Linked DNA regions of Arabidopsis thaliana. The protein of the gene in region 1 interacts with the protein of each later gene in a pairwise test. Each region holds a gene or a part of one and is shown in the gene's direction. Other genes may lie near its edges.

Evidence for each region. Proteins that work in one complex are often made in the same cells at the same time.
Region 2: the proteins of AT3G22845 (region 1) and PUP4 interact in a protein complementation assay, tested with the Arabidopsis thaliana proteins (one large-scale study listed by BioGRID).

Annotation. Positions count from the first base shown.
Region 1 is NC_003074.8:8,085,433-8,089,463, forward strand, and holds AT3G22845 (emp24/gp25L/p24 family/GOLD family protein), read left to right. Parts: upstream 1-1,805; 5' UTR 1,806-1,940; coding exon 1,941-2,156; intron 2,157-2,411; coding exon 2,412-2,598; coding exon of another isoform or gene 2,599-2,716; coding exon 2,717-2,824; intron 2,825-2,984; coding exon 2,985-3,118; 3' UTR 3,119-3,392; downstream 3,393-4,031. Other genes in the region: ELIP1 (Chlorophyll A-B binding family protein), read right to left, coding at 1-13; AT3G22850 (aluminum induced protein with YGL and LRDR motifs), read left to right, coding at 3,635-3,834. UniProt on the Arabidopsis thaliana protein: Involved in vesicular protein trafficking. Mainly functions in the early secretory pathway but also in post-Golgi membranes.
Region 2 is NC_003070.9:10,972,546-10,977,150, forward strand, and holds PUP4 (purine permease 4), read left to right. Parts: upstream 1-1,899; 5' UTR 1,900-2,035; coding exon 2,036-3,184; 3' UTR 3,185-3,252; exon of another isoform or gene 3,253-3,518; intron 3,519-3,729; 3' UTR 3,730-3,753; downstream 3,754-4,605.

The DNA of each region.
Region 1 (4,031 bases):
ATGCTGTTGCCATTTCTAAAGCTTAGAACTACTAGTGTGAGAGAAATTAAGAAGAAACTTGGAGTAGCTAAGTGATTATCGCTTAGGTTACAGAACTTTAAGCTAGATCGTGTGTAGAAGCTTGATATGAGTAACGAATGATCTTACGTATGTATTTATAGGACGGGTGATCAGAAATGATAGGTCATTAGGTCGAGTTGTTTCCTGAACTTTCTTTTAGTTATTTACTTATTTAGCCTTTCGATATTGATAAGTTAATATAGTTCACACAAAAATAACCAACGGTCAAAAACATTACACGTGAATCATATAGTATTTGAAAGGTTCACTATCTAGGTTGAAGGATCAGCGTTCAAATTTTCTTACTACAATTTTTATTCTGATTTGTTATTAAACTGTTTCAACTGGATTAATTAACACACACCAAATTCATTATAAGTCTCACATAGTATCATATTCTTTATTGTTATACGAGTAGTAATCAACAAAGTCATTAAGTACATCACCTCGATAAAAAGCCAATTCTATGGAAAAATTAATATGGACAGTTTATCTACATTTCATATTCTTATGAACTAAAACATGCTAATTATTTTATTTGGATCTCCAAGATTTTTGGACATCCAAATTATTTCTAAACTGACTGACTCGTGTATTTGGCCGGTCCAAAACAAAACACGTAGGCTCCAAAAGTGTAAAAGAGGAAGCTGCGATATTTAAAGGAACCACGTTGCTTAGATTGTCCCCACGCATAACATAAATTTAACTTTTGAAGGACAAGGAACAAAGTCCATGGCGTGGCCTACTCATTCGCCACAGTTTCTTCTCACTTTTTTGGCCAAGTGCCAAGTGGGTTAGGTTAAAAACGTAAAAAAGATTCTCTCCATCTCCCAAAAACATGTGGCTCAAAAACAAAGCATAACATTGCTTTCGTTTCTAGAATACGTTCATTTCATTACACATCTCTCTTTATGCTTTTGGAACTTAGCTGAGTTTGGATTCAGACAGGCCCATACTTAGTCTGGCCGAGTCCGTGACTGTTCTCTCTTTGTCCCTTTCTACGTGGCCGATCCTAACTCCGTCAGTTTTTTGGTAATATTTACGGTCGTTTCAAAATGTCAATAACTTTACAATTAAATGGAGATAAAGATTATTTACTGTTAAGAAAAAAAAGACTATTTACTCTTACAGTCATACGTATCTCATAACGGGCCGTATAGGGCTCATTAGGCCCATCAACTCTAGCTTCCCTAACCAAATCATGTCTTTCGCTCATATATGTTCGTTTCTAATGTAGTGTTGACCAAATCTGCAAATTGACATTCTGATCATTTTAGTCTTTGATAACATATGAAAGAAGAATTGTCATTCTCAACCTAAGGAAATTTGGAAGGATTCACTTTTACATGGTAACACAAAGAAGAAAACATATGATTCTTTAGATTTTGTTCCCGGAAATAATGATTTCTTAGAATATAAGTACTTTGACATTATTGACCAAATAAATAAAAACTACCTTGACATTATTATGCATACATAACAGTCAATTCTTTTTAACACATATCAATGGCGTAGATAAAAAAAACTTCCAAAACGTACATTAAGTCATTAACCAATATATATACAAAAATCAAAAATTTTTTGTAAAAACAAACATCACTGAAACACTTTTTGAAGTAAAATTTTATCAATTTAATCATAATTTAGATCGTATTTTACTTACATTAAAATTAGTAATATTTTTCTCTAACTCTCTTTAATGACCAAAAGCCGTTGACCAATAAAATCTCCCCGTGTCGTCATAAACCGGTTTTAATTTCCGGTTTGGTAATCTAAGTCGCAATAAAATCCTCTTTGTCTTCTTCTTCTTCCTCTACTCGGCGAATTCTCTCGAGAAAACAAACTGAATTTTTTTGATCGAAGAAGATCTAAAAAAAAAGATGGAGAGACGACAAGCGAAGATCCATGTCTTTGTATTGATAGGTCTAATTCTATTGAATTCAATCAATCAAATCTCATCTCTCTCTGTAACGGTGAACGACGAAGAATGTGTCCAAGAGTACGTCCTTTACGAAGGCGACACTGTTTCCGGTAACTTCGTCGTCGTCGATCATGATATCTTCTGGGGATCCGATCATCCTGGTTTGGATTTCACGGTTAGCGATCTTTCAATTTACCTTTTTACCCCAAAAGTTCTTAACTTTGATACGTTTCCTTCGATAATCCCAATGTTTGATTTATCGTGAAATTGGTGTTTCTCATGCTTAATTTTGACCTGATCTGATCTTTGTAAGGATGTGACAATTTAGGGTTTGGTTGGGATTGTGGAAATTTGCTATCTTTGATTGGATTGGATTGGATTTTGGTTAGGGTTAATGTGTTGATTGATTCATTGGATTGTGTTTGTGTAGGTGACGTCACCAGCTGGGAACATTGTACAGACTTTAAAGGGAACATCTGGAGATAAGTTTGAGTTTAAGGCTCCAAAAAGTGGAATGTACAAATTTTGTTTCCACAATCCTTATTCTACTCCTGAAACTGTCTCCTTTTATATTCATGTTGGTCATATTCCTAATGAGCATGACTTAGCCAAAGATGGTTCGTTTCCATTCCCCTTATGTATGATCATCTTCATTGATGCAATCTGTATTTTGTGCATTGAGCTTGAGCTGTTTTGTGATGTTATGTTCTTTCTGTTTTGTTGTTTGGTTCTTAGAACATTTGGACCCGGTAAATGTTAAGATAGCTGAGTTGAGAGAGGCTTTGGAATCTGTTGTTGCTGAGCAGAAGTATTTGAAAGCTCGTGACACTCGTCACCGTCATAGTAAGTTTTCTCCATTCGTCTTACAAGCCTCATTCCCTTGATTACCCGAGTAACTTGCTTAGATGCAGTATGACAATATAATGAGTTTTTAGACAGACATCATTGAATGGCGAAAGATGCAACCTTTATACGATCTAACATTGTTCTGTGTTTGGTGCAGCGAATGAGAGCACGAGAAAGCGAGTGATATTCTACACAGTAGGAGAGTACATTTTCCTTGCCGCAGCTAGTGGACTTCAAGTTCTCTACATCCGCAAGCTCTTCAGCAAGTCGGTAGCATACAACAGAGTTTGAACATAGCAAAACCTCAGAGCGAGGTCTTGTGTCCAGTTTATGTTTGAATCGGTGATCAAAACACAATCCTAAACAGTGTTAGTTAATTTAAAAGCTTCAATAGCGAAAGACTTACTTTTTGTTTTTGGTTTCTACACTTTTATAAGTTTACTAATGCAGAACTTGATGAAGCTTTTTTCTGAATTCATTGATTAGTGAATATCATTATCTTGTTATTATCGTAGACAAATTGATATGAGATCCTTAATTATGATACCAAATAAAAACCACCACTAAAGTGAAAGAAAAAACAAAGTCAAAGTAATATACAATATCATACAAATATCTGCAAAACGTGGAGGAAAAGAAAAATCGAATAATTCGATGATTCTCTCTATCAAAGAAACGAAAAAGTCGTATTGAAGTTTTGCCATTTGTTTATAAAAGAAGTGGCTGTTCAACGATTCTAAAGTCATTTACTTTACCATTTTGATCTGTTGCTCTGTTTCACTGTGCGTGATCGGGAAGAAGAAGAAAATGTTGGCGATTTTCGACAAGAACGTGGCGAAAACACCCGAGGCTCTTCAGGGTCAAGAGGGTGGATCGGTTTGTGCTCTTAAAGATAGGTTCTTGCCGAACCATTTCTCCTCTGTTTATCCTGGTGCTGTCACCATCAATCTCGGATCTTCTGGTTTCATTGCTTGCTCTCTCGAGAAACAGAACCCTCTTCTTCCCAGGTTTTGTACAATAGTTTATTCCTCAGGATGATGTTTTCTTCTTCTGTCCTAGATATGAGAGATTTGCTATCTTAATGTTTCACTGGCTTGCAAAGATAGTTTAGGATATGTTTCACTGAATCTGAGAGATTGAGATATCGATCTGTTGTTATGTTTTGATGGAATAATGAAGTTATATATCTACTTTGTTGTGATGT
Region 2 (4,605 bases), on another chromosome or scaffold:
AAGATTATTTAGTTGACTTGTTGTTACCAAAGATTCATGTTTATGCTCGAAATAATAGAACAACTATTTCATGAAAATTCTCAAAAATATGAACTATCATAACAAAAATCCCTAAGAAACTGAGAAATATTTTTCAGTTTCAAAACACTATTTTTATACGTATAACACTAAAAAAGGCGAGCTATATGGTAAATCTAATTTATTTTTATTCTCTTAAACAGCTTACTATTTCGTAAGATTTGAACCTTTTATTACATCTTATTTCATTTTATATTAAGGAGTTTTCTCTTTATTTTTGTATTTACACACTAAACAGTCTACATCTAGTTTTCCTAGATCATTCATCGCTGCCACAAAATCTCTGCACTCTATTTCTGAAACTAGGGGTCTACGCGAAAATATTTTGATAAGATTGTTTGTTATAAATGGATACAATTAAATGTGACCAATTAGATTATACAATGGAAATAGAAGAAAAAGACAAGAGAAATATTATCCTTTGGTTACTCTTCTTTTCTATGTTTATAACTAAAATTTTTGTATCCTCTCATTTTTCTTGATAGGTGAAAATTAATACAAACCCAAAGTAAAATTCAACTTAGCTGAAAAAGTATTATTATATTGTTCAAAACACCAGTCGAAGCATTAGACTTCCTGTCTACAAACATAGTTACATGAAATACACACCACTATAGAGTAGTAAATAAAATCTTATTAATTATTAATCAAGAGGTAACGGTTAAAATAAATTTATTAAAATATTTATGTCATTCACTATATATTTACATTAATGTGTGTGTGTGTTTATGCGTGGAGACTTAACGTTACACACATTTTTTTTTTTTTTCTTACACACATTAAATTTTTTTTTTTAGTGGTCAACTGGAAAAATGTGTTTTGTATTTAGTAAATCTCTTTCCTTCTTTTGAAAATACTTTTGAAGAATAGAGTATGTATTTTCCAATAGTGAAGTAATTCAAAATTATCAAAACCATTAAGTTTATGGTGAAAAATATTTTGTAACCCAAAAAAATGAATTGTACTGAAATTTAAATTTAGATTAGATGGTTTGGTTCGAGCTTGTGATCTTTAATTTCATATGATTATTAGTTTTAAGTTAGTGAACGCTATTTTTTTTGTTCGTCTGGTTAGAACTATGTATGTGTAAATAAATGTTTATTAATTTAATTAAGTTCTTGGCCCAAAACCTATGAGAATTAATTAGTTGATAAATTACATGTGTCAAATAGGTTATAGTTAGTTTCTAAAATATTTAGTCAAAGATTTTTTTTTTGACATCTATCAAATAGGTTATAAATTATATGTGTTTTAATTTTATTGGTTAAAGTAAATGATCATATAAGTTATATTATTGAATAAATATATACTAAATATTACTAGTGTTGGTTAAAAACTATGGAAAATTTTATTGTTATAGAAATATTTTTGATGGATAAACATTGTTTATCTATTAAATATATAAAAGGGAAAGTTTCTTCTATATAAACTCATGATGATAAGATTTTGAGCAAAATTACCAATTTTGTTTTCTTCTTTTGTCAATACAAAGGCTTATAACATTAATTGCTTTTATTTTGTGGTAAAGAGATATCAACAGATTTTAGATAATAAATTCATATTTCTTAATGAAAACATTGTTATTGAGGGAAATTTTTTTATCATTGTATAGAAGATTCCCTCTCTAGAAGAATATTCATATGAAATGAGATGCTGGATACCCAACTAAATATTTGTATTTTTTAGAAATTTTGTTAGTAACGACTGAATGTAGTGCATCACATTAATTGAAAATGAATTTATTTGACTATCAATATAATAATAAATGTGTTAGTATCTTTGATTTCGATAAAATCCACAATATATACATGAGTGATCAGTGTGTATTGTGTTGTTGGAGACTGAACCATCAACGCTTTTTCGACACTTCTTCTTCTTCCTCCTTTCTCTCTTCATGCAAAATCACAGTTACAAGAAATAAACAAAAGATTATAAATCAAAACATAAAGAGACAAAAATGAGTGATGGTCGAGTTAACGCAGATCCTCAACAAGAAGAGAACATGGTTAAACCACCGGTTAAGAGATCTCTCACTCTCCTCATCGTGACTTACTTTTTTCTCTTCTTCGGCTCTATCGCTTCGAGCCTTCTCGCGAAGTACTATTTCGTCTACGGTGGCTCGAGCCGGTGGGTCTCCACGTGGGTTCAATCTGCTGGCTTCCCTCTCCTCCTCATCCTAATCTACTTCCCTCACTACGTTCTCAAAACCACCACTCGCCGTCCTTTCACGCGCTTCACGCTCCGCCATCTCATCTTCTCCGTGTTGATCGGGCTTGTTCTCGGTTTCAACAACTTCCTCTTCTCATGGGGAACCTCGTACCTTCCGGTGTCCACGTCATCGCTTCTCCTCTCGACACAACTCGTCTTCACTCTCATTTTGTCTAGGATCATAGTGAAACAGAAGATCACTTTCTCAAACCTCAACTGCGTTGTCCTGTTGACGTTAAGCTCTGTTTTGTTGGCTCTTGATTCGAGTAAAGATAAACCGTCCGGTTTAACCAAAACCAAGTATTTCATCGGGTATGTATCCACGATCGGAGCCGGTTTACTCTTCGCTCTTTACCTCCCCGTGACGGAGAAGCTATACCGTACCGTTTATTGTTACGCGATGGTCATGGAGGTGCAACTGGTGATGGAATTCGCAGCGACGGTTTTCGCGACAATCGGTATGGCTTGCGAAGGCGGGTTTAAGGAAATGGTTAAGGAAGCGAACCATGTTTTCACCAAAGGACCAACATTTTATTGGACGTTTGCGATACTAGCAAATGTGGTGACGTGGCAGCTCTCTTTCGCAGCCACGTCAGGGATGGTTTACTTGACGTCAGGTATCACCGGAGGTATCTGCATGACGGCGTTGCTCGCGATGAATGTGATAGGAGGTGTGGTGGCTTACGGTGACGTGTTTGGTGGAGTGAAGATTGTGTCGACGGTGCTATGTATTTGGGGATTCTCATCTTACACATACGGGATGTATATGAAGATGAAGAAGGAGGAGAAGGAGAAGGGAGAATATTCCGGCGTAAAGACGACGGAAGACAGCGGAGAGATGGAGGTGGAAATGGGAAATGTTAAAGATGACGTGGCGGCGGCGGATGATAGGGCTTGAAGATATCTGTGTGATTGAGACGGCCGTTATGATTATTATTAGGAAGGAAGCCAACAAAAAAAAAAAAAGTAGTAGTATCTTTTTGTGTTCTTTCTTTTTCTCACCTTATGTTTTTTTAGTAATGCATTTGCTTTTGTTTTTCTTGTTTTTTTAGGTTGTTTTGTTTTTCCTTTTCTGGTTATTTTTATGAATTATCCTCTTATCATGGCCACAACTAATGATGTTGTACACTTTTTAAGTGTGGATTTTCCAATGTCGGTTGATAAGTATGTATTTTTCTGTTATCTATGGGCTTTTGATTGGTTTTATTAGATATATGGTCTGTTATTTTCCCAGTCTCCAGTGACATTGATACGAAAATTATACACCCTGTGATGACAAACAACAACACCGACGATATATTGAGAATAAGGCGACGATAAGTAGTGTTGATTGTATCGGATGCTGAAAATAAGAGTAACTGTGACAATTTATTTTTTTATCCGGTGTGACTCTTGGAGTGGTTTCGGTTTTTTTATTTTTATTTTTATTGTTGATAAGAATAGGCCAAAAAAAAAAAAAAAGTAGGCCCAAAGGAATAGGTCCAGTGTAGTTATTTAGTGAACAAAAAAAATATTAACTTTCACCTATACAAAAATGTGAATTTTTTTTTTTGTTGGAAACACTTTTTACAAAAAGATGTGATATTATTTGATCTAAGAATATCCAGAATGTGGTTTACAAATGTATACCACCTGTTTAATGTTTTGACCATGTTAATTTCCTATAGCTTGCTTCAAATCCAACTCTCGATTATACTTACAGTTCAGAGAACAACAAAACTAATCCTCTGTTTTACAACACATGACTACATTGTTAGTGTTGGTGGCAATGCCAAAGCTCTAGGAGATAATTTTTTCAATTTTTTGTTCTTGGTAATGAAAGTTTTTGAGAGAGCATGTATTTATTTCATTTATAAGGATTTAATAGATTGTGTTTTATTAGTGTTTGACTTTTTATCATAATATAAAATTTGACGGGCGCTGGTAGCCTGGTACATGTCCTTGGCGCCGTCGAGTTGAGTTGCACTCTGGTAGAATCTTATTCCAAATTACTTCATGACATTCTCCAAGACAGAATGATCTCCTCTCTTTAAGAAATTTACGATTATACTGAAGTATGATGAATTTTACAAATGATATACTATTATACAAAACATATAACAATATATATACCTGTTACACTTACAGCCAATAACATATAAAAGAACAAAAAAGGAAAAAAGTTGTCGTTTATGGGAAACAACATACCAAACAAAGAAAATGAAAGTGCTCACGATCTCTAAGATTCCAATTAGACAAATATTAATGATGATCATGATAGTTAATTAGAGTGTTAATAAAATGAGTGAGGAAATAAAGAAGAGACACGCTTAATGGTGA